Macaca mulatta: one gene and its partners. The protein of the gene in region 1 binds, or shares a complex with, the protein of each later gene. Links are inferred from orthologs where the notes say so. Each region holds a gene or a part of one and is shown in the gene's direction. Other genes may lie near its edges.

Region 1 (4,165 bases):
CGTGAGCCACCAAGGATTTGTGTTAAAATTTTTTTTGCTGGCCAGGCACGGGGGCTCAAGCCTGTAATCCCAGCACTTTGGGAGGCCGAGACGGGTGGATCACGAGGTCAGGGGATCGAGGCCATCCTGGCTGGCTAACACGGTGAAACCCCGTTTCTACTAAGAAATACAAAAAACTAGCCAGGCGAGGTGGCGGGCGTCTGTAGTCCCAGCTACTCGGGAGGCTGAGGCAGGAGAATGGCGTAAACCCGGGAAGTGGAGCTTGCAGTGAGCTGAGATCAGGCCACTGCACCCCAGCCTGGGCGACAGAGCGAGACTCCGTCTAAAAAAAAAAATTTTTTTTTGCTTTATTTTTTTCTTCTTTTTTTGTATTAGAGATGGGGTGTTGCTATGTTGCCTAGACTGATCTTGTACTCCTGGGCTCAAGTGGTCCTCCTGTCTCAGCCTCCCAAAGTGCTAGGATTACAGGTGTGAGTCAAGCAATGCTCGTGCCTCAGCCTCCCCAGTAGCTCGATTACAGGTGCCAACCACCACCTGCCCACCACCCCCGGCTAATTTTTGTATTTTGTATTTTAGTAGAGACAAGAATTATACCATGTCGGCCAGGCTGGTCTCAAATTCCTGACCTCAGGCAATCCACCCACCTCAGCTTCCTGCTGGAATTATGGGCGTGAGCTACCCTGGCCAAGATTTTTAACTTCTGAAGCTTATAGCTGCTCTAAATCACAAGAATTCAGTTCCATAATTTTAAAAAGTTGCTTGTTTTGACTTTAGGTATATGGTTGAACATTCTAACTTTTGTTATGTATACATTTTTATTTTACTGTATTCTTGTGGCCATTGTATCCTACTCTGTATGTTGCAGATGAGTTGTGATTCTCTGGACTTAGAGATCACATGCTCTATTACCAGGATATTTTTTTGTAACTCCGTTTGTTGTTTGGGATATAGGCTTTGAGAGGTTAAGGAAGTAAATTTAGGATGGATATTGATGTTGTAGCACTTTGTTAATCCTTTTCTCTACAAGATAATTTTATTATGTGATACAGCAATTTTGTTCAGAGATGTTTTGTGTGTGTGTGGAAAATTTCTTTTCTGGATGAAATCTCTTGTTTAACTTCTCCAGTTATTCATAATGAAGCTGTTTATCTTTTAAAGATATTAAGTTCAGAAAAGGAAGGCAAGCTGCATACAGTGGCTCACGCCTTTATTCCAGCACTTTGGGAGGCCAAGGTGGGTGGATCACCTGAGGTCAGGAGTTCAAAACCAGTCTGACCAACATGGTGAAACCCCATCTCTACTAAAACTACAAAAATTAGCCAGGTGTGTTAGTGGGTTACTGTAATCCCAGCTACTCAGGAGGCTGAAGCAGGAGAATTGCTCGAACTTGGGAGGTGGAGGTTGCAGTGCTCCAAGATCACAGCACTCCAGCCTGGGCAACTCTGTCTCAAACACAAACACAAAGAAAAGGAAGGCAGTAGAGTATCTTATTTAAGAGCATGGATTCTGGAGAGAAGCTGACAGTTAAATACTAGCTCTGACACTTGATGGCTTGAGACCCTTGACAGTAATATGATTCCTTTTTGATTCAGTTTTTTTCTTCTGTAGAAAGGGAATGGTAAGCGAGCACTATGAGATTTCAGTGAGAGAGAAGCACTTACCTCAAGTGCCAGACAGCAGCCTTTCAGCTAACTTATTATATTTATTTATTTTTTGAGATGAAGTTTTGCTCTTGTTGCACAGGCTGGAGTGCAATGGCACGATCCCAGCTTACTGCAATCTCCACCTCTCAGGTTCAAGCGATTCTCCTGCCTCAGCCTCCTGAGTAGTTGGGATTACACGCATGTGCCACCATGCCCGGCTAATTTTTTGTCTTTTTATTTTTATTTTTATTTTTTTTCATTTATTTTTATTTTTTTTGAGATGGAGTCTCGCTCTGTGCAGTGGCCGGATCTCAGCTCACTGCAAGCTCCGCCTCCCGGGTCCACGCCATTCTCCTGCCTCGGCCTCCGGAGTAGCTGGGACTACAGGCGCCCGCCACCTCACCCGGCTAGTTTTTTTTTGTATTTTTCAGTAGAGACGGGGTTTCACCGTGTTAGCCAGGATGGTCTCGATCTCCTGGCCTCGTGATCCGCCCGTCTCGGCCTCCCAAAGTGCTGGGATTACAGGCTTGAGCCACTGCGCCCAGCAATTTTTTGTATTTTTAGCACAGACTGGTTTTCACGATGTTAGCCAGGATGGTTTCGATCTCCTGACCTCAGGTGATCTGCCTGCCTCCACCTCCCAAAGTGCTGGAATTACAGGTGTGAGCCACCGCGCCTGGCCTACTTTTTTTATTACTTTTTTTTTGGAGACCGAGTCTGGCTCTGTCGCCCAGGCCGGAGTACAGTGGCATGATCTCGGCGCCCTGCAACCTCCGCCTCCCAGGTTCATGCGATTCTCCTGTCTTAGCCTCCCAGGTAAACTGGGACTACAGGTGCATGCTGCCACGCCCGGCTAATTTTTGTTTTGTATTTTAGCAGAGACGGGGTTTTACCGTGTTGCCCAGGCTGGTCTCCATCTCCTGTGTTCAGGCAGTCCGCCTACCTTGGCCTCCCATAGTTGCTAGTATTACAGCCGTGAGCCACCGTGCCTGGCCTTTTTTTTTTTTGAGACGGAGGCTTGCTCTGTTGTCCAAGCTGGAGTGTAGTGGCACAATCTTGGCTCACTGCAACCTCTGCCTACCCAGTGCAAGCGATTCTCCTGCCTCAGCCTCCCAAGTAGCTGGGACTACAGGCGCGCGCCACCATGCCCAGCTAAATTTTTTGTGTGTGTTTTTGTGTTTGTTTTTTCACTAGAGACGGAGTTTCACTATGTTGGCCAGGCTGGTCTCGAACTCATGACCTCGTGATCCACTTGCCTCGGCTTCCCAAAGTACTGGGATTATGGGTGTGAGCCACAGCGCCCGGCCTTTTTTTTTTTTTTTTTTGGATAAGGTATTGTTTTGTCTTCCAGGCTGGAGTGCAGTGGCATAATCTTAGCTCATGGTGGCCTCCAGCTTTTGGTGTCAGGGTATCCTTCCACCTCAGCCTCCCGAGTAGCTGGGACTACAGGTGTGTGTGCAACTGCGCCCAGCTAATATTTTTACCTTTCGTAGAGATGGAATCTCAATGTCTTGCCCAGGTTGGTCTCAGACTCCTGGGCTCAAACAATCCTCCCACCTCAGACTCCCAAAGTGCTGGAAGTATGGGCGTGAGCCACTGAGTCCAGCTATCTTCAACTTTCACTATTCAGGTTACAGTTTGTAGTACCTTTTTTTGGCAGGGCAGGGGAAGGGTAGCGGGAGTAGCGCCCTAAGATCTCTTGGAATAAAACAGGGCTTACTACTTGGTTCCTGGTGCTTAAGAACATGTTTCCTAGACTCGGCTCTTTCCAGACTTGGAATCCAGTTCCCCAAGTTGGAATCACCTGAGGTTTGTTTTAATCACCTTCATGGAGGTATAATTTGCGTACAATAAAATGCATATACTTTATTTTATTTTATTATTATTTTTTTTTGAGACGGAGTCTCGCTCTGTCACCCAGGCTGGAGTGCAGTGGCCGGATCTCAGCTCACTGCAAGCTCCGCCTCCCGGGTTCACGCCATTCTCCGGCCTCAGCCTCCCGAGTAGCTGGGACTACAGGCGCCCGCCACCTCACCCGGCTAGTTTTTTGTATTTCTTAGTAGAGACGGGGTTTCACCGTGTTATCCAGGATGGTCTCGATCTCCTGACCTCGTGATCCACCCGTCTCGGCCTCCCAAAGTGCTGGGATTACAGGCTTGAGCCACCGCGCCCGGCCAAAATGCATATACTTTAAATGATAGTTTGATATATTTTTTTTTAGACACAGGGTCTTGTTCTGTCACCCAGCTGAAGTACAGTGTCGGAATCATAGCTTACTGCATCCTCAACCTCCTAGGCCCAAGAATTCTCCACTTCAGCCTCTTGAGTAGCTAGGGTTGCAGGTATGCACCACCACGCCTGGCTACATTTTTAGTTTTTAATTATTTTTTTGTAGAGAGAGGGGTCTCACTAAGTTGCTCAGGCTGGTCTTGAACTCCTGGTCTTAAGTGATCCTCTCGTCTCAGCCCCACAAAGCCCTGGGATTGTAGGCACGAGCCACCACAAACCACCAGTTTGATAAA
Region 2 (3,500 bases), on another chromosome or scaffold:
TGTTCAGCTTGAAGAAACAAACAGCATGCTAACCAAAGATATGGAAATATTAAGAAGAGAGAACGAAGAGCTAACAGAGAAAATGAAGAAGGCAGAGGAAGGTATGTAGAATTTTTTTTTAAATTATCATGTTAAATCAAATTCAGTGATTTACCTTTACCTATGTTGTGTTAGGTTTCTAAGATACCTGTTTTCATATATTAAGTAACTTCTGTAGCCTTAAGAATTATCTTAATGAAGTTACTGAAAGTTAATATGTAGTGTATACTCATTTGAATAATTAAGGACATTGTTAGTTTGAGATGCAGAAATTAATACCATACAATAACATTTAATATAATTTGTTGACAGAATATAAATTGGAGAAGGAGGAGGAGATCAGTAATCTTAAGGCTGCCTTTGAAAAGAATATCAACACTGAGCGAACCCTTAAAACACAGGTATACATGCTTTCAATCTTTTCCACATGTTCATTTTTGAGTTAATCGTTGCTCTTTATGCACTTTTTCCTAAAACCAAGGATTATAAGGTTCAAACTTTTCATCAGAACAAATAACGTAAATTCTTTTTTTTTTTTTTGAGACGGAGTCTCGCTCTGTCGCCCAGGCTGGAGTGCAGTGGCCAGATCTCAGCTCACTGCAAGCTCCGCCTCCCGGGTTCCCGCCATTCTCCTGCCTCAGCCTCCCGAGTAGCTGGGACCACAGGCGCCGCCACCTCGCCCGGCTAATTTTTTGTGTTTTTAGTAGAGACGGGGTTTCGCCGTGTTAGCCAGGATGGTCTCGATCTCCTGACCTTGTGATCCGCCCGTCTCGGCCTCCCAAAGTGCTGGGATTACAGGCTTGAGCCACCGCGCCTGGCCAAATAACGTAAATTCTCTCCCTGCTAACTATAAAAAACTTACTTGTGAAATAGGATTTTCAGGCCAGGCGTGGTGGCTCATGCCTGTAATCCCAGCACTTTAGGAGGCTGAGGCCAGCAGATCACTTAAGGCCAGGAGTTCGAGAGCAGCCTGGCTGACATGGCGAAACCCCAGTCTCTACTAAAAATACAAAAATTAGCCGGGCATGGTGGTGCGCTCCAGTAATACCAGCTACTCAGGCAGCTGAGGCACGAGAATTGCTTGAACCCAGGAGGCAGAGGTTGCAGTGAGTAAAGATCATGCCACTGCATGCCAGCCTGGGTGACAGAGCAAGACTCGGTCTCAAAAATAAAAAAAAGAATAGGATTTCAGTTAAGAAAGCTAACTTACCTAGTAATATTGTACAGTTGTAGAAGATAAGAGTATGTGGCCAAGGCATAGAAGCTTTATTTGCTAGTACCCAACATCAGAGTAGGATTAACATACTCTTGATTCAGTACTGGGTTGTAAAGTTAACCAAGGAAAGGCTCCTGGTTCTTACATTTGAGTAGTGTGATAAATCAGTGTTAGTTACTTGTGCTACCAGTTATCATGTCTCAACCGTCATTAAGTTGTCTGAATTTTCATACACACAAAAAGTCCTGCTTCCTTATTTTGAAGAAAAAAATACATTTTAGTATTAAATTGGATGACTACACTATTTATCTTTATTAATATTTTAATAGGCTGTTAACAAGTTGGCAGAAATAATGAATCGAAAAGATTTTAAAATTGATAGAAAGAAAGCTAATACACAAGATTTGAGAAAGAAAGAAAAGGAAAATCGAAAGCTACAACTGGAACTCAACCAAGAAAGAGAGAAATTCAACCAGATGGTAGTGAAACATCAGAAGGAGCTGAATGACATGCAAGCGGTAAGGTTTGTGTGTGTGTATGGACACGAGTGTGAAGGATTATTTTCTTAAATTATTTCTGTATATACTTGTTATCTGTTTATCTTGTTTAGATTGGGAACAATCAAGGGTTCCGCCTGTTTGGTTTCAGACTGTAATTGGGATATGGCTGTTTTAATGTTAACTGTAATTGGGGTAGAGGTTTTGAAGTATTGTAGCTTATTTATTTTCTCTAGTCAAGACTCACTTTTTTGAAATCAAAATAACAAGCTTAATTTTTTGATACCTCTTGGCTTGTTAATAGAACAAAATTGAGAACCTGGTCTCAGGCACTTAGATCTAAGCTTTTTAGCTCCATCAATTATGGTTTTCTGAAGTTTTCTGTACCTTTAAAGCTACTTCATTTGGAGCCAGAAAAGCATTTTCTATTGTAACTTTTTTTTTTGATGGCTTATGTTTGAAAACAAAAACAAAAACTCTTTTTAAGGCAAGTAGAAAAGGAATTTGTCCGAGCAATGTATTACTGAGAACTTGACATTTCTGTAGTGTATCAAAATCTGTGGTAGCAAACATTCATGAAGTTTACTGTACATTTTTAGTATTAGCAATTTAAATTACTTTATTATATTTCAATTAATAATGTTGGAAATTGTTTTAGCTTGATTATATATTATCTTGATACTTTTCAAAATTAGCAACTGGTAGAAGAATGTGCACATAGGAATGAGCTTCAGATGCAGTTGGCCAGCAAAGAGAGTGATATTGAGCAATTGCGTGCTAAACTTTTGGACCTCTCGGATTCTACAAGTGTTGCTAGTTTTCCTAGTGCTGATGAAACTGATGGAAACCTCCCAGGTAAGAATAATTCTGTATCATTCAAACATGTATAAATGTCATGGAAATTAGTGTATATTTCTTTCATTTGGGTTTCTACCTCCTTGTCGTTCTATCCATGGATTCCTAAGAAGGAATTCTTATTTCTGATAGCCAAGGCCTGATGATTATACACTTGGTGTATTTTATGGAGTACAGCAGTTGTAAGCAATCTTAGGCTATTTAAATAGACCTAAGAAGCTTTACCTGAATAAAAACCATAAGAGGTTTATGAACCTATTTTGAGCAGCCTAAGTCCACAGTGAGAGTCAAAGCTGCTACTACACATCTCGCTATTTTTTAAAAGTTGTACATTTTTGTCAGTAATAGATCTTTAACATTTTCTGTATTCTTGTGCTAAAACTAGGAACTGTACTTTATCATCAGAATCACAGCAGCTATGTATAGAAGCCTATCTAGTGGAGTAGTGATCAACTTCAATCAGACTTTGTTAAGTTTTAAGTTTGGAGAAATAGATAAAAGGGGTTGGGCAGTGCAGTAAGAGGCCAGGGGTGTCAAATAAAGGCAGGAATGAGTGGCTAAGATTTCAGACTTTTTTCTGTGTCTTCTTTTTCCCAGTGGAGAATCAATTTAAAAATAAACACAACTTCATTCTTGGCTTAATCGTCATGTAAACTACAGTACATTTATGTACTTTACAGAGATGAGAAATACGTATACTATAAGTTCAGTTTAGAAGTAAAATGAATAGGTTATCATTATTAAAACATGCATTTACATATACACAGAGTCTTAGTTCAGAGTCTTGGAAGTTTTGTATATATGGTCATAAACTTGAAAATAGATTTTAATTAGTGTATTTTCTGAATAATCCATAAATAGGAAGATATTTATGAAGCAGCATGTTTGATATT
Region 3 (3,500 bases), on another chromosome or scaffold:
GTCAATATCATTTTGGTCTTTGGAAGCCTTTTCTTTTTTTGTTATGAGTGGTATAATACATCTGTGTGTATGTACAGGTGGATGGGTGGATATGTGTTTTATAATAGGTGCATAGTGAGTTTATATGTATTTGTAAGATAGCAGTTTCTTAGAAAGTGAAAATCGTTAAGTTGGGTACCCTATCCCAAGATCAATTAGCAGTTGACAGCTGAAGTTATACTAATTTGATGCAAATCCAGTCTATAATGGAATGATAGAGCCTCTTCTTAGTCATTAAGGAGAGCACTGAAAATTAAGTCCTCTGTTATAATGCTTTAAATATATATATATGAGAAATTTATATAAATTTATCAAATATTTCTGAAAAGATGTATAACAAATTAGTAGCTATAGTTGCCTCCGGGAAGGCAAATTGCCAAACAGGGTATGATACTTTCACCGTATATCCTTTTGAAATGTTTGAAACTTTTACTTTGTGCATGTATTACCTCAACAGTTTTCAAAAAACAATCTTAAATAAAAAGGAAAAATAATTTTGTGTTTCTGACCATTGTCTTTTAGTGTACAGCTAGGCTTTAGAATTAGACCTGCATTGAATCCTAGCTCTACCACATAATTAGAAGTGTGACTTTGGACAAGGTGCTTAATATTGCAAGGCTTTATTTTTCTGTATGTAAAATAGGGAAAAAAAGATTATTTGGAGGGTTAATAAGAGTCATAAAACACTTAGCACAGTACCTGGCTATGTATAAGTACTTAATTTATTAACCATCAAGTACATGATACTATTTTGTTAAATTTTTATTGACTTAATTAAAATGTAATTTGGTCTAATATGGTTAAAAATTTGATAAAGGTACTAGTGCAATAATATGAATAAAACTTTTTTTTAAAATAGTGATCGTACTGCTAATACTTAATTACCCATGAATACATTATGCAGACTAACCCACATATTATAATTTAAATGATAGCATTTTTTAAGTTGGGTATTTTTCCCAAATCTTTCATATTTGTTTGATCTATTAGAGAGCAAAATCATTTCATTTTCATAAATCTTACATAAAGGCTATCAAGTAAATAGGACTTGAATTGTTTTGTTATAGGATTACTTTTAGATATTGTGAATGTTGTTTACCCTAGGCGTTTTCATGTTTCAGAAACCTACTTCTTCTCCAGTGAAATCTACTACATCTATCACTGATGCTAAAAGTTGTGAGGGACAAAATCCTGAACTTCCAAAAACTCCTATTAGTCCTCTGAAAACGGAGGTATCGAAACCAATTGTGAAGTCAACTTTACCCCAGACAGTTCCGTCCAAAGGAGAACTAAATAGAGAAATTTGTCTGCAATCTCAATCTAAAGACAAATCTACAACACCAGGTTACGTATTTATAAAAAATTTAAAATTATTGCTGACTATATTCAGGATATCTATTCTCAACATTTTAAATATCCAGTTGTGAATGGTACAGCAATGGTTTGCCAGGGCCAGTGCCTGAATGTTCCAAATGAGACCTCAGCTTTAGTTGATTCAATGAATATTTATTAATGTAGACTAGCCTATTTACTGGTCAAATGACTTAATATGTTACATTTTAACAGTTTAAACATGCTTTTTCCAGGATGATCTTGCTAGATTTTATTTTCTATATTTTTTGATTCAGACAAAGCATATTTAACTGGAAATCACAGTTTAGGGGCATAATGGAGAAACATTCTTGTAGCCAAGGGTGCAGAGCAGTGCTTCTCAATCTTGAGTATGAAGGCACCTCTAATAGCAGAGAGAAGTGAATGTGCATATGAATGACTCCACCTCTAATTTTATTTATTAAATTGATAAATGGTAGAAATATTTGAAAAAATTGCTGTTTATTGGTAAATAATATATATATTTTGGAAGTACATTTGATAATTTAATATATTCATATAATTTGTAAATATCAAATCAGTGTAATGAGGATATCCATCACCTTAAATACTTGTCTTTATGCTAGAAACATTTGAATTCTTCTCTTGTAGCTATTTTGAAGTATACAATAGATTATTGTAAACTATAGCACCCTACTGATCTATCAAACACTGGGTCTTTTTTGTTCTGCCAAACTGTATATTTGTACTCATTAATCAACCTCTCTTCATCCCCCAATTATATCTATCTGTGTATATATTGTGTGTGAGCATTTACATATAAAAGTTCAAAATTTCTTGCCATAGTAAACTGATACTCCAGGAAATGCCATATTTATCTTGTGGTGATTTATATCTTCTGGCACACTTCCACATGCTGTTAATTGAGAAACACAGGACTAAAATATATGGTAATCGAGTTTATTCTGAACTGTGTTCATTTTCATTGGAAAGACTTTTAATTCTAAGGTTTAACTTTCTGAAAATACAACCTCTGCAGAAACTATAGTTCATCATAAAGGGGCAGTAAACAGAAATGAGAGTGGGGAAGCGGTTATGGGGTAGGTAGAAATCAGCAATTTCCAGTTGAGCTGGAATGAGAATTAGAAACAATAGCAAGATCCCCAGATGGAATAGGACTAGTTAGTCCCAATTTTCTAAAGACTCAACGCTTAGATAAGAAGCATGTGTTTTAATTGTTCTTGACTACTGGATATACCCAGAATCACATTTCCAGGGTTTCAGAGATATTTATTTTAGATACTTCACTGCATTCTTAATGGACTGTAGTTTGGAATATGGCCTGAAGTAGTAATAAGTGACAGGTGAAGTCCTCAAATTATGGCCATGGCTCAAATTCTACTCTTTGCTTGTTTTTGCAAGTAAAGTTTTATTGGAGCACAGTCACACCCATTTACTTACATATTGTCTGTGGTTGCTTTCATTCTGTAATGCAGACCAGAATAATTGTGACAGAGGCCATATGGCCCACAAAGCTCAAAATATTTAGTGCCTGGCCCTTTACAGGAAAATATATGCTAATCTCTGATATAGATAAGCCTATTTTTATGTAATACAACCTTAGAATCCTCTTGATGGGAGTGATATATGCCCCATTTGCCCTATTTTAAATTTACTTCATACTGTTTCAAATGAGTGCTGTGGAGTTTTTTGTTTTGTTTTGTTTTGCTGTTTTTGTTTTTGAGACAGGGTCTCACTTTGTCACCCAGGATGGAGTGCAGTGAGTGGCATGATCTCAGCTCACTGCAGCCTCAACCTCCCAGATTCAAGCAATCCTCCTGCCTCAGCCCACCAAGTAGCTGGGATTATAGGCATGCCACTACACCTGGCTAATTTTTGTATTTTTTTATAGAGATGGGGTTCCTCCATGTTGCTCGGGCTGGTCTCGAACTCCTGAGCTCAAGAGATCCACCTGCCTCGGTCTCCCAGAGTATAGGATTACAGGTGTGAGCCACCGTGCCCAACCGAATACTATTTTAAGATACTGTAAAATCAAGGTGTCCTTTTGATAAAATGAATAATCTCTAGTTTTCCTTCTGAAGGAGAAAAAGGAAAAATTCCCTTATTTT
Region 4 (3,500 bases), on another chromosome or scaffold:
AGGCTGAAGAGGCTCGAAGGCAGCTGGCCGCCCTGGGCCAGACCGAGCCACTCCCAGCCGAGGCCCCCTGGGCCCGCAGACCTGTGGATCCTCGGCGGCGCAGCCTCCCTGCAGGCGATGCCCTGTACTTGAGTTTCAACCCCCCACAGGTAAGGTGGCCTGCAGTGGTGAACGGACCTGGGGTGGACATAAGGGTCCGTGGAGCCCAAAAGAAATTGGGCCATTGGGGATTTGAGCCCAAATGCAATCAGGCAACCGACTTGAAGGATATTGAGGTACTAGTTGGAGAACTGAAAAGAAATGTAGATGGGTGCAGGGGTGGAGGAAACTAACTCGGGTGGTGGTGCTGAAAGAGGCCAGTTGGTGGTGGATCTCCTGAAGGGGAGTCATGGGTGAGCCCCAGTGGGGAGAGCTGCTGCCTTCAGCCAAACAGAACCTCCAGTCTTCACACTACTCAGTCCCTGGCCTGCTGTTCTTCCTGCCCACTGTCCACAGCCCAACCGAGGCACAGACCGCCTAGATCTGCCTGTCACTACTCGCTCTGTCCATCGACACTTTGAGGACCGAGAGAGGCAGGAACTGGGGAGCCCTGAAGAGCGGCTGCAAGATAGCAGTGACCCTGACACTGGCAGTGAGGAGGAAGGTAGCAGCCGTCTGTCTCCGCCCCACAGTCCACGAGGTGAGACCCTGGCGGAGACATGGACCAGAGGTAGAGTGCAGCCTGCGTACAGGCCTTGGGGCTGTGGCTTCCAAATGGGCCCTAACTGACCTGTGAGGCTTATAGTAACTCTAGGGAGGGACTTCCTGTTTTGTCTGATGATGAATGGTTGGTGGAACTCTAAGAAGCAGGAGGGGCCTCCCTCCTCCAACTGGTTGGTGATTCCCAACCTTTAGAAGTAAAAATAGATTTTTTTTAGAAAAGGCATGGTGGCTCAGGCCTGTAATCCTAACACTTTGAGAGGCCAAGGCAGGAGGATCGCTTAAGCTCAGAATTTTTTTTTTTTTTGAGACGGAGTCTCGCTCTGTCGCCCAGGCTGGAGTGCAGTGGCCAGATCTCAGCTCACTGCAAGCTCCGCCTCCCAGGTTTATGCTATTCTCCTGCCTCAGCCTCTCGAGTAGCTGGGACTACAGGCGCCCGCCACCTCGCCCAGCTGGCTTTTTTTGTATTTTTTTAGTGGAGACGGGGTTTCACGGTGTTAGCCAGGATGGTCTCGATCTCCTGACCTCGTGATCCACCCGTCTCGGCCTCCCAAAGTGCTGAGATTACAGGCCTGAGCCACCACGCCCGGCCTAAGCTCAGAATTTTGAGGCCAGCCTGGGCGACATAGTGAGATCCACCTCCTCTACCAAAAAAAAAAATTCATTTATTTTATTTTATTTTTTTATTTAATTTAATTACTTACTTATTTTTTTATTATTATTTTTTGAGACGGAGTCTTACACTGTTGCCTGGGCTGGAGTGCAGTAGTGTGATCTTGGCTCACTGCAACCTCTGCCTTCCAGGTTCAAGCAGTTCTCCTGCCTCAGCCTCCCGAGTAGCTGGGATTACAGGCACCCACCACCATGCCCGGCTAATTTTTGTATTTTTAGTAGAAACGGGGTTTCACTGTGTTGGCCAGGCTGTTCTTGAACGCCTGACCTCATGATCTACCTGTTTTGGCCTCCCAACAGATTGGGATTACAGGCGTGAGCTACCATGCCCGACTAAATTTTTTTTTTTTTTTTTTTTTTTTTTTGAGATGGAATTCTCGCTCTGTCACCAGGCTGGAGTACAGTGGTGAAATCTCGGCTCACTGCAACTTCTGCCTCCCAGGTTCAAATGATTCTCCTGCCTCAGACTCCCGAGTAGCTGGGACTACAGGCACATGCCTCCATGCCCAGCTAATTTTTGTATTTTTAGAAGACATAGGGTTTCACCATGTTGCCCAGGCTGGTCTCTATTTCTTGACCTCATGATCTGCCCACCTTGGCCTCCCAAAGTGCTGGGATTACAGATGTGAGCCATTGCGCCTGGCCTATTTTATTTTTTATTTTTATTTTTTTAAAATGGAGTCTCACTCTCACCCAGGCTGGAGTGCAGTGGTGTGATCTCAGCTTACTGCAACCTCCACCTCCTGGGTTCAAGTGATTCTCCTGCTTCAGCCTCTCGAGTAGTTGGGATTACAGGCATGCGCCACCACACCTGGCTAATTTTTTTTTGTATTTTTTAGTAGAGATGGAGTTTCACTATGTTGGCCAGGCTGGTCTCGAACTCCTGACCTCAGGTGATTCATCCACCCTGGCCTCCCAGAGTGCTGGGATTACAGGCGTGAGCCACCGTGCCTGGCCCGCCAAAATTTTTTTAATTAGCCAGGCGTGGTGGCGTGCGCCTGTAGTCCTAGCTACAGACAGTGAGAGTGAGGTGAGAGGATCGCTTGAGCCCAGCAGATTGAGTTGACAGTACTCTGTGATTGCGCCAGCCTGGGCGACAGAAAGAGACCAGGAGACCCAGACACAGGATCTCGCTCTGAAATTTTTTATTTTAGAGACAGGGTGTCGTGCTGTTGCCGAGGCTGGACTCAAACTCCTGGGCTTAAGTGATCCTCCCAAGTAGCTGGGGCTACAAGTGCATGCCACTGTGCCTGGGAAGATATAGTTGTTTTTTTTTTTTTTTTTTGAGACAGAATTTTGCTCTGTCACCCAGGCTGGAGTGTAGTAGCACAATCTCAGCTCACTGCTACCTCCACCTCCCAGGTTCAAGCAATTCTTGTTCCTCAGTCTCCCGAATAGCTGGGATTACAGGCACGTGCCACCACATACAGCTAATTTTTGGCACTTTTACTAGAGATGGGGTTTCACCATGTTGGCCAGGCTGGTCTCCAACTCCTGGCCTTAAGTGATTCTCCCACCTTGGCCTCCCAAAGTGTTGGGATTACAATCATGAGCCACTAGGCCAGTTTTTAAAGTAAAAAAAGTTTCAAAGACCTTCAAGTTTTTATAGTTGGTTCATGAAATAAAAAATTACCAAAAGCTCTAACCTTAAAGTATTTTGTACTTTCCTAATCAGATTGTATCTTTGGATACTGTACAAGTGTATCTGGTTCCTAGATGTGGATACCTCACTTACTGTGTTGCCAGAGGTTTTCCTCTCACCCAAGAATTTACAGAACCCTGTCATCCCTTCACAGCCCCAGAGCCCCCTGAGCCTGCAGATGGGGAGGCATTAGTATAGGGGTACAGTTCCTCATGGGAGTCTCTGCTCACTCACTGGCTTTGTCCTGTCCCCCTTCAGACTTTACCAGAATGCAGGACATCCCGGAGGAGACGGAGAGCCGCGACGGGGAGGCTGTAGCCTCCGAGAGCTAAGGGGGCCCCTCACCCCTGCCCTGTGCCCCACTGAAGAACATTACTGAGGGGGGCTAACCTTGGGGACTCCAATTTGCCAATGATGAGGGAACATTTGAAAGAACTGCAGACTGTCCTTGCCAGCTCTTGGGATCCTTAGATACCTGGGGCCATTT
Region 5 (3,500 bases), on another chromosome or scaffold:
CAAAGCAAGTCCCAAGGCCAGCCTCGATTCAACGGATGGGGAAATAGACGTCATTTCTTTTTTTTCTTGTTTTTGGGTGGAGACAGGGTCTCGCTATGTTGCCCAGTCTGGTCTTGAACTCCTGGGCTCAAGCAGTCCTCCCACCTCAGCCTCCCAAAGTGCGGGATTATAGGCATGAGCCACCGTGCCTGGCCTAGACTCCACTTCTTGGTGGGAGAAGCTGTAAAGCCACATTGAAGGGGCATGGATACATGGAAGGATAAAATTTAATAATTAAACTACTAGCCCAGGTATTTTCTTAAAGCCTGACATCAGCTCCCTTTGATACACCTTCTCCCTGATGTCACAATGCCACTCAGAAGCATTCTGGGACCTCAGTGGCATGGGCCATGAGGGAAGGACCAGGGACCAGGGCTGGAGAAACTGACCAAGTCCTTGGGCTGGTCCCTGAGGGGTGGGTGATCTGACATCAATGCCCAGCATCCAAAGGGGAGTGGCCAGCTCAGGTTAGACCCAGACACATTCACATCTGAGCAGGTTCATCTGGGGACGAGCCTGGCACAGGAATCTCATGAAGGTGATACTTTAACCCATGACAGTGGCCAAGGCTCTATGTGGATTATTGGGGGGAAGTGGAATTGTGGTTTTCACTAGGGAGATAGGGACAGGGTACAGCTTTCCCCTTCCAGGGATCACACTGGAAAAACTAGACAGTGTCGAGGATTCAGCAGTTTGGGATTCAGGTCAGCGATCTAGCCTTACTGCAGTCCTAGTTATTGAAACCGAGCAGAAACAAGGGTTAGAGTAGCAGCTGAGCAGTCAGCTCAGTCACAGGGCTTCTCCTTATAGGATGCACTAGATCTCGGTTCTGAGGCTGACATGACATAAACAGGACACACACACGCTTCTCTTCCCACACTTTGGTGCCCATAGCAGACATTACTAATGGATCACAGAACAGTTTTTCTGGTGAGTCCAGACAAGGTCTCAGAATCCTTCTCTGTTGAGAAGGTGCTATACAACTGAAGAGCATTAGCATATGAGTTGAAATCTGCATACTCTGATCTCTGGTTGCAGGCAATATGACATTCTATGCCCCACTGACTGATGGGACTGAGCCTTCTTCATGCTCCCCTCCCTGGCTGGTTTAGGGACAGGTTGTTGCTGCCAAACTGTGTTGAGAAGGAATCTGAAGCTTCACCTGAGCTTAGTAGGAAAGGAGAACCATGATGAGTTTGAGATGTCTGGAACAGGAGAGGCCCCTTAGAGAACATGGCTTCGGGGACAGTCAGGACTGGTGCCTGGTTTCAGCCCCCATTTTTCCTCTCTGGGTTGGGGTGCAGTGGGAAGCTGTCAGAGAGAGAGTCTGCCCCTGGGAATAGGGACATTCCAGAGCCCCCAGTACCTCTAAGAATGGTAGGTTGCATTAGGATTTCCCAACACTATTGACATTTGAGACCAGATCATTCTTAGTGGCAGGGACCATCCTCTGCATTGCAGGGTGTTGGGCAGCACCCCTGGCCTCCACCCACCTGATGCCAGTAGCACCCCCACCCCCAGTCGTAACAACCCAATATGTCTTTAGATATTGTCAAATGTCCCCTGGTGGGGAAAACTGAGACCCTCCCTGGACTAGATCCTGAAAACCTCTTCCCTCCCAGTAGCAGGGAACCACCAGGTTGTGTAAGGAGGGGTGAACTGTCCCAGGTTGGAAACAGAGCAGGTCAAAACTCCCATGCTTTTCAGTAGTGAGATTGCGCCTGTGAGTAGCCACTGCACTCCATCCTGGGCAACATAGCAAGACCCCATCACAGAAAGAGAGAGAGAGAGAGAGAGAGAGAGAGAGAGAGAGAGAGAGAGAGAGAAAACCTCTTCCTATCAGCAAGAGTTTATGGAAAGAGCAAAGGCTTCAAAGGCTTTGGGATCAGGAGGACCTGGGTTTGGTGTGGCTTGGCTGACGTGCAGGGTGACACAGGTCAGCGTGTGGGCCAGGGTGCTCCCCTCATTAGGCCTCAGCTTTCCCCTCCAGCAAATGAAAATGACACCCTCCACCTCTCTGTGCGTGTCCTCACACTCAGCGAGTGCCACCCCCACCCCTCCCACAGCCCTGGTCTCCCTCCTGAACCCGTGTGCCAACTTGAAAGTGTGCAATGAGGACCAGACCAACTGCACAGTGCCCACTTACCCCTCGTGCCGCGACAGCGAGACCTTCAGCACCTTCCTCCTGGACCTGTTTAAGCTGACCATCGGCATGGGCGACCTGGAGATGCTGAGCAGCACCAAGTACCCCGTGGTCTTCATCATCCTGCTGGTGACCTACATCATTCTCACCTTTGTGCTGCTCCTCAACATGCTCATTGCCCTCATGGGCGAGACGGTGGGCCAGGTATCCAAGGAGAGCAAGCACATCTGGAAGCTGCAGGTGAGGCCCCAGGGCCCCCAGCCCCATCCCACCGGCCACCCTTGTCCTTCTAAGGACACTCACCCGACTGGCTTCCTCGGCCTTCCATTCTGAGCAAGCCGTGTCTTCTCATTCTGCCTCCACTTCCCTGTCTGTAAAATGGGCATCAGAGGCTGCTGCTGACTTCCCGGAGCTGCCTCATGAATTTCGAGGTGGCTTCTTGCCTGGCCACCAGCAGTGGACTCAGATTCTCCTTGTGGTTCAGCTCACAGGACACAGTTGGCTCCACCCAGCATGACTGAGTGACTTCTGCCAGCTCAGAAAGTGCTCAGTGGCCATCAGCGTTTCAGCAGGTGTCCCATGCTGAGCCCAGGGGGCAGCTTTTATGCTTCAGCACGCCAGCACAGGGATGTCAGCATTCTCACGGGGGTCTTTTACTAGCAACCGTGAGCATGCTTCCTAGAGGAGAAACCAGTGGAGATAGGGGCTGCCTTGGCCCCGGGGAGCTGCAGCCTTTACTTCCCAAAAGCTTTCTGTACAATCCTGGGAAGCGCAGGCCCTGGGATCACAGCCCTCCCAGGCCAGGTGCAGCCTCCAAACCTGGTGTCCTAATAAACAGTGCTGCCCCATGGCCCAGGAATACAGCACCCATATTTACTTTGTGCATTTCAGGAAAATGGTGCAGTGAAAAAAAAAAGGCCCAAGGTTGTCCTCCCAGGACTGCGTCTGAGGGAAACAACTCCGGCCTGCTCTTAACCTTTATCTGTATTGCTTACTTCATTGGGCCTCAGTTTCCCCACTGGGCATTACAGGATGCAAACAGGGCATCCTGTGGGCTGGAGTGCAATGCACGCTCTTGGCTCACTGCAACCTCTGCCTCCCAGGCTCAAGTGATTCTCCGACCTCAGCCTCCCAAGTAGCTGGGACTAAGGTGTGCACCACTGCACCTGGCTAATTTTTGTATTTTTTGTAGAGATGGGGTTTCACCATGTTACCCAGGCTGGTCTTGAACTTCTGAGCTCAAGCGATCGGCGGGCCTTGGCTTCCCAAAGTGCTGAGATTGCAGGTGTGAGCCATTACACCCAGCCTCAGACCATTA
Region 6 (3,500 bases), on another chromosome or scaffold:
GTGACAGAATTGTTTCTAAATGGAAAAATATAACATGGATCTTAAAGACACTCAATAAACCTGTATTGAATTGAATGTTTATCAACAGGAATGCTAATACCATTTTAACCATAGTCTCTCTTTTTCTACAGTTATAAATAAAGCAAAGATGTTATCAGCTGGGGTCACAGAGACAGTTTTAAAATTTCTTAAATCTGAAATGCCCCCTGTTCAGTTCAAACTTCTGGGAACATTAAGAATGTTAATAGATGCACAAGGTAAAAGAAATGTTTTCCCCAACTTGCATTTTTGGTATGATAGTCTTAATGTGCTTCTAGTTGAAAAAAGACTTGTTTCTCGCTTTCAGGATTATGTAATCATAAAAAATAGCAAATAAAAGATTAAAAAATTAGTTTTGGAACTCCATTTGTTAATTTTTGTGCTTGTTATAATTGACTATTTATTTATTTATAACTATTATTTATTTATTTTTGAGACAGAGTCTTGTTCTGTCACCCAGGCTGGAGTGCAGTGGTGTGACTTCAGCTCACCGCAACTTCCACCTCCTGGGTTCAAGCAATTTTCCTGCCTCAGCCTCCTGAGTGGCTAGGATTACAGGCATGCTCCACATCTCCTGGCTAATTGTTTTTGGAATTTCACTAGAGATGGGGCTTGTTGCCCAGGCTGCTCTTGAACTCCTGGCCTCAAGCGATCCTCGCACTTCAGCCTCCCAAAGTGCTGGGATTACAGGTGTGAGCCACCACGCCCAGCCTATTATTGACTTTAAGTAGAAATTATACCATATCTCTCCTTATTAATTCTTATAATCCTGGTTTTAGTTTGCTTTATTATCAATTTCGGGGGAGGGCGTTGTGTTTTGGCATTCTATACCCATTTTCACCTTGGCTTTGAAATCAAATTTCATTATTGTGACAGTCAAAAATCTTAAAAATTTGTCTTGTGGCAGGGAGAGCATTTTTCTATTTGCAGAAACAGCAGTCAGAACCACTCCTAGGAATGAATTATGTTTATTTACTTATTTCTAAATTCTAAAGCCTTTTCTATATTGATTGCATAGAGTCCTTCTAAGAACCCTGCATTATAGTCTGCCAGAGCACTAACAGACTAGCAGGCTTAACCAAAAGAGTATGAAATCATTTGTTTTTGTATTTTCTATAAAATTTCACAATGTTACAGAAAAAGGCAAATAGCCCATCACATAAGGAATATTTGCAGTTCTAGCTTTAATGAAATTGTTGTGCTGTGTTTTTTTAGATGTATTTCTCCTTCACACTCTTAAATCTTTACGAATTACTTCAGCTGATTGTCTGTTAGTGATTCATTCCTTGGTTTGCCTTCTTTCCTATAGCAGAAGCTGCTGAACAACTGGGAAAGAATGTTAAGTTAGTGGAGCGTTTGGTGGAATGGTGTGAAGCCAAAGATCATGCTGGTGTGATGGGGGAGTCAAACAGACTGCTGTCTGCCCTTATACGACACAGTAAATCAAAAGTAAGTTCCAGAGGAAACTGTTCACTAGAAAACTTCAGAGCGTCTTTTTCAGAAACCCAGCATTGTAGGTCCTAACAACTGGGATAATATTTACCTGAAAGTATTGTGAAGATTCAGTGAGATCATGTGTATAATGTGCTTAGCTGGTACATGGGATATAGGAAACACTCAGTAAATGGGGGTTGCTGTTGCTGCTGCTATTGTTGTTATTACTTTTACCACCACCATTACCAGCATTAGTGTCAAACATTTCTTTGTGCCAGGCATTGACCATGCAGGCTACTGATATTTAGAATTTAGAAATTAAATGATATCTAGATAGTATATGATGTCCAGAGCTCACAGAGTTAGAAAAAAATCCATTCTTGTGACTGTGCAGCTTTCTGGCACATGGTAGATAACCAATAAATGAACAGATGAGCTGTTTCAAAGATCACAATAGTGAGTACCCAGGCCAGCAGTTCAGCAGCTGATTTAGTATCTAGATTATATGATTTTTAAATTTTTTAAATACTGTTTTTTTCTTTTCTTTCTTTTTTTTTGAGACTGAGTCTTGCTCTGTCGCCCAGGCTAGAGTGCAGTGGTACAACCTCGGCTCACTGCAACCTCTACCTCCCAGGTTCAAGCAATTCTCCTGCCTCAGCCTCCAGAGTAGCAGGGATTACAGGCAGGCGCCACCACCCTCAGCTAATTTTTGTATTTTTAGTAGAGATGGGGTTTTACCATGTTGGCCAGGCTGGCCTCGAACTCCTGACCTCATGATCCGCCTGCCTCGGCTTCCCAAAGTGCTGGGATTACAGGCATGAGCCATCATGCCCAGCCTTTAATACTGTTTTCTAAGGTGACCCTTTCAGTCATTTCTCTTGTACAACTTCAGTAGTGATTATATATGAGGAGAAAGTTTAGAACTCAAACCCACCAGCTGTTTTCATTTATTTTTAGAACAGATAAGAAGATGCCAAGAGAAAAAGCATAAAACTAAAACTGTTCTTGACTTGTATAAATCTCTTTCATATAAATAATTCACTTCACCATAATAGCCATCCCAGCTGGTTAGCCTCAGGAGTGTTCTTCTCCATCAGATGCTAAATCTTGAGAACTTTCCCTGGGGAAAAGCAGCTGTTAACTAGGACCTTCCTATTACCTGTCTCACCCAGACCACCCTAAAATCTTATACATTTTCCCTGACACAGGACCAAGTAGTATGTTGGCAAAGCGAAAGTTATCAAGAGAGAATAGCAAAATGGCTTCGTTGGTACCCCTTTCACCCCTTCTCCATCATAACTGTTCTCTCATGCCCATTTGTTCATTTAACAGTTAATATTTGAGTTCTTGCAGTGTAAATACTACAAAATAGTGTTTCTATAAAGGAATTAACTATCTATTGAGGGGACAGACATAAAAACAGCTAGCTTAAGTACAGCATTAAAGCTACATATGCTATTCGGATGTAACAGAGGAAAGAAAGACTAACACACTGTCTGAGTGGTCTGGGATGGTGTCATAGAAGGAGTGCTATTTTAGGGGCTAACTAGGAATCTCTCAGGAGGAAAGGGAAAGAGAATGAAGGAAAGGGCCTTTTCAGGCAAAGACGACAGGATGTACAAAAAGTACAGAGATGTAAAACAGCATAATTTTAGAAGGAAACTGCAAATAAAGCAGCATTGCTAGAACATAGAGTGTGGAGAGAGACAGTGGCCAGAGAGGTTGAAAACTGGGAATTAAGTGAATTATATGCCAAGTTAAGGTGTATGGACTTGATTCTGTAGAGAATTCTGGAGCACTTAAAGGATTTTAAGCAGCAAGTTGCCATTATTTGGGTTTTTGTTTATTCGGGGTTTTTTTGAGACAGAGTTTCACTCTTGTTGCTCGGGCTGGAGTGCAATGGCACGATCTCCACTCACTGCAACCTCCTCCTCCTGGATTCAAGCAGTCCTCCTGCCTCAGCCTCTTGAGTAGCTGGGATCACAGGCATACACCACCATGCTCGGCTAATTTTGTATTTTTAGTAG
Region 7 (3,500 bases), on another chromosome or scaffold:
ATGCTTCAAGCACAGAGGCAGCAGGAGGTTACAAAGTTGTAAGAAAAGGTAAAATAAATGGGAGTGTCCAGTGGGGAGACAAGCTCCCTTGCTAGGTGAGATAAGTCTTCCGAATAGCTGCTTCCTTCCCTATATTCCCCCTGGGTACCGTGTGAGCAGAGACCTACACTTGGTCCTGGATGAAGGAGACACGCTGATACCAGGCAGGCTTTGGAGTTAGGCAGTCGAGATTCAGAGCTTAGCTCTGCCACTTAATATCTGTGTGGCTTTACACAAAATTCTGAATCATCTCTGAACTTCATTTTGTAACACATAAGGACATTTCCTTCTGCCTGGCACAAACCAGCTACCAGCAACCAGTCTCTTGTTAGCGCTCCTCACTCATCTGGTCCCACAGAAAAGAGCCGCCCTTCTCAGGAGCCTCAGGCTGGGAAAGACAGGGCAGGTGCATGCAGCCCCTCACACCAGGCAACAGCACCTAGGGCAGTAGAGGTGGCAGCTGGGACTGGAAGGGGTGGAAGACAAAGCTGAGAAGACATTTGGCGAGTGAGGGGTATGGGGAGTGAATAAGGTGGCAGGGAGGGCACCCCGGGTTGGAAAACACCATGGGCAGCCTTGAGACAAGAAAAGCCAAGACAAGCTCACAGGGAGGCCGACAGGTCTGCCCAGCCCAAGCAGTGAGCCCAGGGAGGAAGGTCCCTGCCCCGGGAAGAGTGGGCTGGTCTGAGAGGGTGGCAAGAAAGGTAGAACAAAACCTGGGGCACACCTGGGGTGGGGTTCCGCGCTAGTGGGCCTGCCCTCCCCTGAGGTTCCACTCTGCCGCCCTTCCAGCAGCATTTTTCATTCCATCTGCCCAATGCCCGCCTTCTCCTGGGTTTCTGGGAACTGACCTTCCTTCTCTCTCTGCTGGTGAATTGGTGGAAAGTTCTCTGCACTGCCTGGGATGTCATCGTGTATGAGCTTGTGTTCACCTTGTTCTTCCCGTTTTCTCCTCCCCCGTCCCCACCTCCTGCCCTCTCTCCTTCCTGTTCTCTCTCCCTTCCCTTTCCTTGTCTTCTGGTCTCTCCTCTTCCTGGTGGTGGTGGTGTCGGTGCAGCTGAGGTGGCAGGCAGCAAGGTTGTCCCTGCACTACCAGAGAGTGGCCAGCCAGAGCCTGGGCCACCTGAAGTGGAAGGCGGAACAAAGGCTACGGGTAATAACTTTCTCCTTGGAGCTAAAGACAGGCCAGGACTGGAGTGTGGAACCTGTGAGGGCAGAGTCAGACCCCTGCCCATGGTCACACACACACCCACAAGCTCCCTCAGCTGCCTGGAATGGGGAGGAGGAGGAAGATCTGGCTCTAAAGACAGGGACAGGCCCTGTGCTGTCTTAAGAATCCACCTGTCCAGGCTCCTGTTCAGAGTGGCAGGGATAAATGCCTGTGTGCAATTGTGGGAGGGGCAGGGAAGCCTGGCCTGGTTCTGGGGACCCAGTGTCCTTCACCTGATGCTCGAGCAGCCACTTCCCCACCTCAGCCGCCGCTCCAGTGTCACTGTGGAAATCAGCTGAAAGGGCCCCCCAGGTTCCACAGTGGTCCTCTGTGCTTCCTGCCTGTCAGGAACCCTCCACGTCCTTCCTCCAGCTCTCTCTGACACCCCTTGGTTGGGTCAAGGGACCTCCAGAGGATCAAGGCATGGATGGAAGAGGGGCAGGGCGGGGCTGCAGTTCATCCAGAGCTGGAGTCAGGCAGGGCAGGAGGGCTGCTGCCTGCTCCTTTCAAAAGAGCCTGAAACCAGTCCACAATCTGTTTACTCAAGGACGGGGAGCCACTCTGATTTCCCCAAATGAAATACTGCAGCTCTGCCACTTCTCCCTTGAGTTCACCACTCAGCATCTCCCCTGGGTTGGGGCCAGACTGAACAAAGTGCCATCTAGAAAATCTCGGGAGTGGCCGAGCGCGGTGGCTCATGCCTGTAATCCCAGCACTTTGGGAGGCCGAAGCGGGCGAATCACGAGGTCATGAGATCGAGACCAGCCTGACCAACATGGTGAAACCCCATCTCTACTAAGAATACAAAAATTAGCTGGGCATGGTGGCACGGGCCTGTAATCCCAGCTAATCGGGAGGCTGAGGCAGGAGAATTGCTTAAACCCAGAAGGCGGAGGTTGCAGTGAGCAAACATCGCGCCACTACACTCCACCCTGGTGACGGAGCGAGACTCCGTCTCAAAAAAAAGAAAGTCGCGGGAGCAGGGCTTTTAGGGGGCTGGCAGACAGTGAGCAAGGCCCGTGTGCTGCAAGTTCATCTGGAGAGGACTGCCTGGCCTGCTCTGTCGGGTGACTAGGGAATCCCACAGGAGCGGGAGGATAGCTTCAACTTCTCTGTTTGCCTCCTGATCTCATTCTCTTACTGTGGGGACAGGGAACTGCTTTTATGTCAGCATGCCAGCAGGACCCCTGGACTCAAGCACCGACCACTCAGGGGTACCCACAAGCCCCCCTCAGCCTGACAGCGTCCCTGCAGGGCAGGCAGAGCCTCGGCCTCAGCTGCAGGGAGGCAATGGAGATCCAAGACGCCTCAGCCGCTCTCCCCCAAGCCTGGCCCTCAGGGACGTAGGCATGATCTTCCGTACCATTGAGCAGCTCACCCTCAAGCTCAACAGGCTCAAGGTGAGGGAAACAGGGCTTGGGTCCCTGCAGGCCTTCAGTCCATCACTCCAAAACCATTCCCCATGAGTGAGATGTGTGTCTTCGCGGGAGCCCTAGATCCTGTCCTGGCCCGGGAATCTTCCCCCAGCCACCCTTAAATCACAGCCCCATCCCCAAGGCCCAGCACAGATCAGAGTATGACCCCTTCCCCAGGGGCCTTAGGAATAGAAGGACTTGAGCAGACATTCCCCCGCCGACTCTTCCAGGATATGGAGCTGGCCCACAGAGAGCTGCTCAAGTCCCTCGGGGGAGAGTCATCTGGTGGCACCACGCCTGTGGGCAGTTTCCACACAGAAGCAGCTAGATGGACAGACGGCTCCCTCTCACCTCCCACTAAGGAGCCCCTGGCTTCTGACTCCAGGAACAGCCATGAACTGGGGCCCTGCCCTGAGGATGGTGAGTGAAGCCAGGTCCCTCTCAGGACCTACCATAGGGGAGAAGTCCGCCACCTGGTGAGGACACATCACTAAGCAGTGAGAGATAGTGGTTCTCAGAGTCTGGTTTCCCCTTGAGTGAAACGAATTCATTCCCTCAGCTTCAGAGAGGGATCTTTTTAGGGAAGTCCCACAGAAGCTCCCTGGAAAAATGGGGAGCTTAGAATTGAGCCCTCTTTTTCCTTGTATATGGAGGTAACAAACCAGGAGGAGCCTGGTCTCACATCTAAGATCTGTACTTTTTAAAATTACATATATATGTGTGTGTGTGTGTATGTGTATATATACATATATAAAATATAAATATTTTCTATTTCTTCGAGACAAGGGCTGGCCTGGCTATGTTGCCCAGGCTGGTCTCAAACTCCTGGGCCCAAG

The links.
Region 2: the proteins of RHOA (region 1) and ROCK1 are in contact, whole or in part, in a crystal structure (PDB 1S1C), measured with the Homo sapiens proteins. The link is inferred for Macaca mulatta from reciprocal best matches to the Homo sapiens genes RHOA and ROCK1. Residues at the interface, in NP_001300870.1 of Homo sapiens: Val38, Phe39, Asp65, Tyr66, Arg68, Leu69, Leu72, Pro75; in NP_005397.1 of Homo sapiens: Lys999, Val1003, Asn1004, Leu1006, Ala1007, Met1010, Asn1011, Arg1012.
Region 3: the proteins of RHOA (region 1) and ANLN are in contact, whole or in part, in a crystal structure (PDB 4XOI), measured with the Homo sapiens proteins. The link is inferred for Macaca mulatta from reciprocal best matches to the Homo sapiens genes RHOA and ANLN. Residues at the interface, in NP_001300870.1 of Homo sapiens: Tyr34, Val35, Pro36, Thr37, Val38, Phe39, Glu40, Asn41, Trp58, Asp65, Tyr66, Arg68, Leu69, Pro71, Leu72, Pro75, Asp76; in NP_061155.2 of Homo sapiens: Met729, Thr732, Val733, Tyr735, Gln736, Ala737, Gln739, Ala740, Cys743, Cys744, Glu748, His749, Gly750, Ser753, Glu755, Glu758, Ala759, Leu762.
Region 4: the proteins of RHOA (region 1) and ARHGEF2 are in contact, whole or in part, in a crystal structure (PDB 7G9I), measured with the Homo sapiens proteins. The link is inferred for Macaca mulatta from reciprocal best matches to the Homo sapiens genes RHOA and ARHGEF2. Residues at the interface, in NP_001300870.1 of Homo sapiens: Arg5, Lys7, Lys27, Gln29, Val33, Tyr34, Val35, Pro36, Thr37, Val38, Phe39, Glu40, Asn41, Tyr42, Val43, Asp45, Glu54, Trp58, Asp59, Ala61, Gly62, Gln63, Tyr66, Asp67, Arg68, Leu69, Leu72, Ser73, Pro75, Asp76; in NP_001155855.1 of Homo sapiens: Asp215, Ser216, Ser218, Leu219, Asp238, Val239, Glu242, Thr246, His249, Cys342, His345, Ser346, Leu349, Lys353, Lys376, Arg377, Gln381, Glu382, Leu385, Leu386, Thr388, Gln389, Ile391, Thr392, Lys393, Leu396, Leu397, Arg400, Lys423, Leu426.
Region 5: the proteins of RHOA (region 1) and TRPV4 are in contact, whole or in part, in a cryo-EM structure (PDB 9IQX), measured with the Homo sapiens proteins. The link is inferred for Macaca mulatta from reciprocal best matches to the Homo sapiens genes RHOA and TRPV4. Residues at the interface, in NP_001300870.1 of Homo sapiens: Met1, Ala2, Ala3, Arg5, Tyr34, Pro36, Val38, Phe39, Glu40, Asn41, Tyr42, Val43, Glu54, Trp58, Glu64, Asp65, Arg68, Leu69, Leu72, Pro75, Asp76; in NP_067638.3 of Homo sapiens: Lys177, Arg179, Thr181, Glu183, Glu184, Arg186, Pro188, Arg224, Glu225, Asn228, Ser229, Pro230, Arg232, Arg237, Asp263, His265, Ala266, Gln267, Arg269, Asp313, Arg315, Arg316.
Region 6: the proteins of RHOA (region 1) and RAP1GDS1 are in contact, whole or in part, in a crystal structure (PDB 5ZHX), measured with the Homo sapiens proteins. The link is inferred for Macaca mulatta from reciprocal best matches to the Homo sapiens genes RHOA and RAP1GDS1. Residues at the interface, in NP_001300870.1 of Homo sapiens: Ala3, Ile4, Arg5, Lys6, Asp13, Lys18, Lys51, Asp65, Tyr66, Asp67, Arg68, Leu69, Arg70, Pro71, Leu72, Ser73, Tyr74, Lys98, Trp99, Pro101, Glu102, His105, Phe106, Leu179, Cys190, Leu191; in NP_001093897.1 of Homo sapiens: Arg111, Tyr118, His121, Ser171, Glu200, Met201, Val204, Asn208, Glu211, Leu212, Glu213, Ala249, Glu253, Lys290, Thr291, Asp294, Leu295, Val297, Leu298, Leu301, Asp303, Leu334, Leu338, Ala341, Asn342, Ala344, Arg345, Asn346, Asp347, Cys350.
Region 7: the proteins of RHOA (region 1) and ARHGEF11 are in contact, whole or in part, in a crystal structure (PDB 1XCG), measured with the Homo sapiens proteins. The link is inferred for Macaca mulatta from reciprocal best matches to the Homo sapiens genes RHOA and ARHGEF11. Residues at the interface, in NP_001300870.1 of Homo sapiens: Arg5, Thr19, Val33, Tyr34, Pro36, Thr37, Val38, Glu40, Asn41, Val43, Asp45, Glu54, Ala56, Trp58, Asp59, Ala61, Gly62, Gln63, Tyr66, Asp67, Arg68, Leu69, Arg70, Leu72, Ser73, Pro75, Asp76, Pro96, Glu97, Pro101; in NP_055599.1 of Homo sapiens: Asn715, Gln717, His718, Glu737, Val738, Glu741, Thr745, Ser748, Ser837, Lys844, Arg867, Arg868, Leu869, Gln870, Arg872, Asp873, Ile876, Met879, Gln880, Arg881, Thr883, Lys884, Leu887, Leu888, Ser891, Arg914, Leu917, Lys918, Val920, Asn921.

What each region holds. Positions count from the first base shown.
Region 1 is NC_133407.1:112,848,108-112,852,272, reverse strand, and holds the start of RHOA (transforming protein RhoA), read left to right. Parts: upstream 1-1,365; 5' UTR 1,366-1,982; intron 1,983-4,165. UniProt on the Homo sapiens protein: Small GTPase which cycles between an active GTP-bound and an inactive GDP-bound state.
Region 2 is NC_133423.1:71,438,556-71,442,055, forward strand, and holds part of ROCK1 (rho-associated protein kinase 1), read left to right. Parts: intron 1-7; coding exon 8-101; intron 102-351; coding exon 352-440; intron 441-1,584; coding exon 1,585-1,773; intron 1,774-2,447; coding exon 2,448-2,607; intron 2,608-3,500. UniProt on the Homo sapiens protein: Protein kinase which is a key regulator of the actin cytoskeleton and cell polarity.
Region 3 is NC_133408.1:91,961,004-91,964,503, reverse strand, and holds part of ANLN (anillin), read left to right. Parts: intron 1-1,160; coding exon 1,161-1,383; intron 1,384-3,500. UniProt on the Homo sapiens protein: Required for cytokinesis. Essential for the structural integrity of the cleavage furrow and for completion of cleavage furrow ingression. Plays a role in bleb assembly during metaphase and anaphase of mitosis.
Region 4 is NC_133406.1:111,003,152-111,006,651, forward strand, and holds part of ARHGEF2 (rho guanine nucleotide exchange factor 2), read left to right. Parts: coding exon 1-149; intron 150-495; coding exon 496-709; intron 710-3,271; coding exon 3,272-3,345; 3' UTR 3,346-3,500. UniProt on the Homo sapiens protein: Activates Rho-GTPases by promoting the exchange of GDP for GTP.
Region 5 is NC_133416.1:116,953,056-116,956,555, reverse strand, and holds part of TRPV4 (transient receptor potential cation channel subfamily V member 4), read left to right. Parts: intron 1-2,105; coding exon 2,106-2,422; intron 2,423-3,500. UniProt on the Homo sapiens protein: Non-selective calcium permeant cation channel involved in osmotic sensitivity and mechanosensitivity. Activation by exposure to hypotonicity within the physiological range exhibits an outward rectification.
Region 6 is NC_133410.1:107,712,748-107,716,247, forward strand, and holds part of RAP1GDS1 (rap1 GTPase-GDP dissociation stimulator 1), read left to right. Parts: intron 1-131; coding exon 132-257; intron 258-1,348; coding exon 1,349-1,488; intron 1,489-3,500. UniProt on the Homo sapiens protein: Acts as a GEF (guanine nucleotide exchange factor) for the Rho family of small GTP-binding proteins (G proteins) that stimulates the dissociation of GDP to enable subsequent binding of GTP.
Region 7 is NC_133406.1:109,985,301-109,988,800, forward strand, and holds part of ARHGEF11 (rho guanine nucleotide exchange factor 11), read left to right. Parts: coding exon 1-48; coding exon of another isoform or gene 49-95; exon of another isoform or gene 96-99; intron 100-1,096; coding exon 1,097-1,192; intron 1,193-2,401; coding exon 2,402-2,649; intron 2,650-2,894; coding exon 2,895-3,084; intron 3,085-3,500. UniProt on the Homo sapiens protein: May play a role in the regulation of RhoA GTPase by guanine nucleotide-binding alpha-12 (GNA12) and alpha-13 (GNA13). Acts as guanine nucleotide exchange factor (GEF) for RhoA GTPase and may act as GTPase-activating protein (GAP) for GNA12 and GNA13.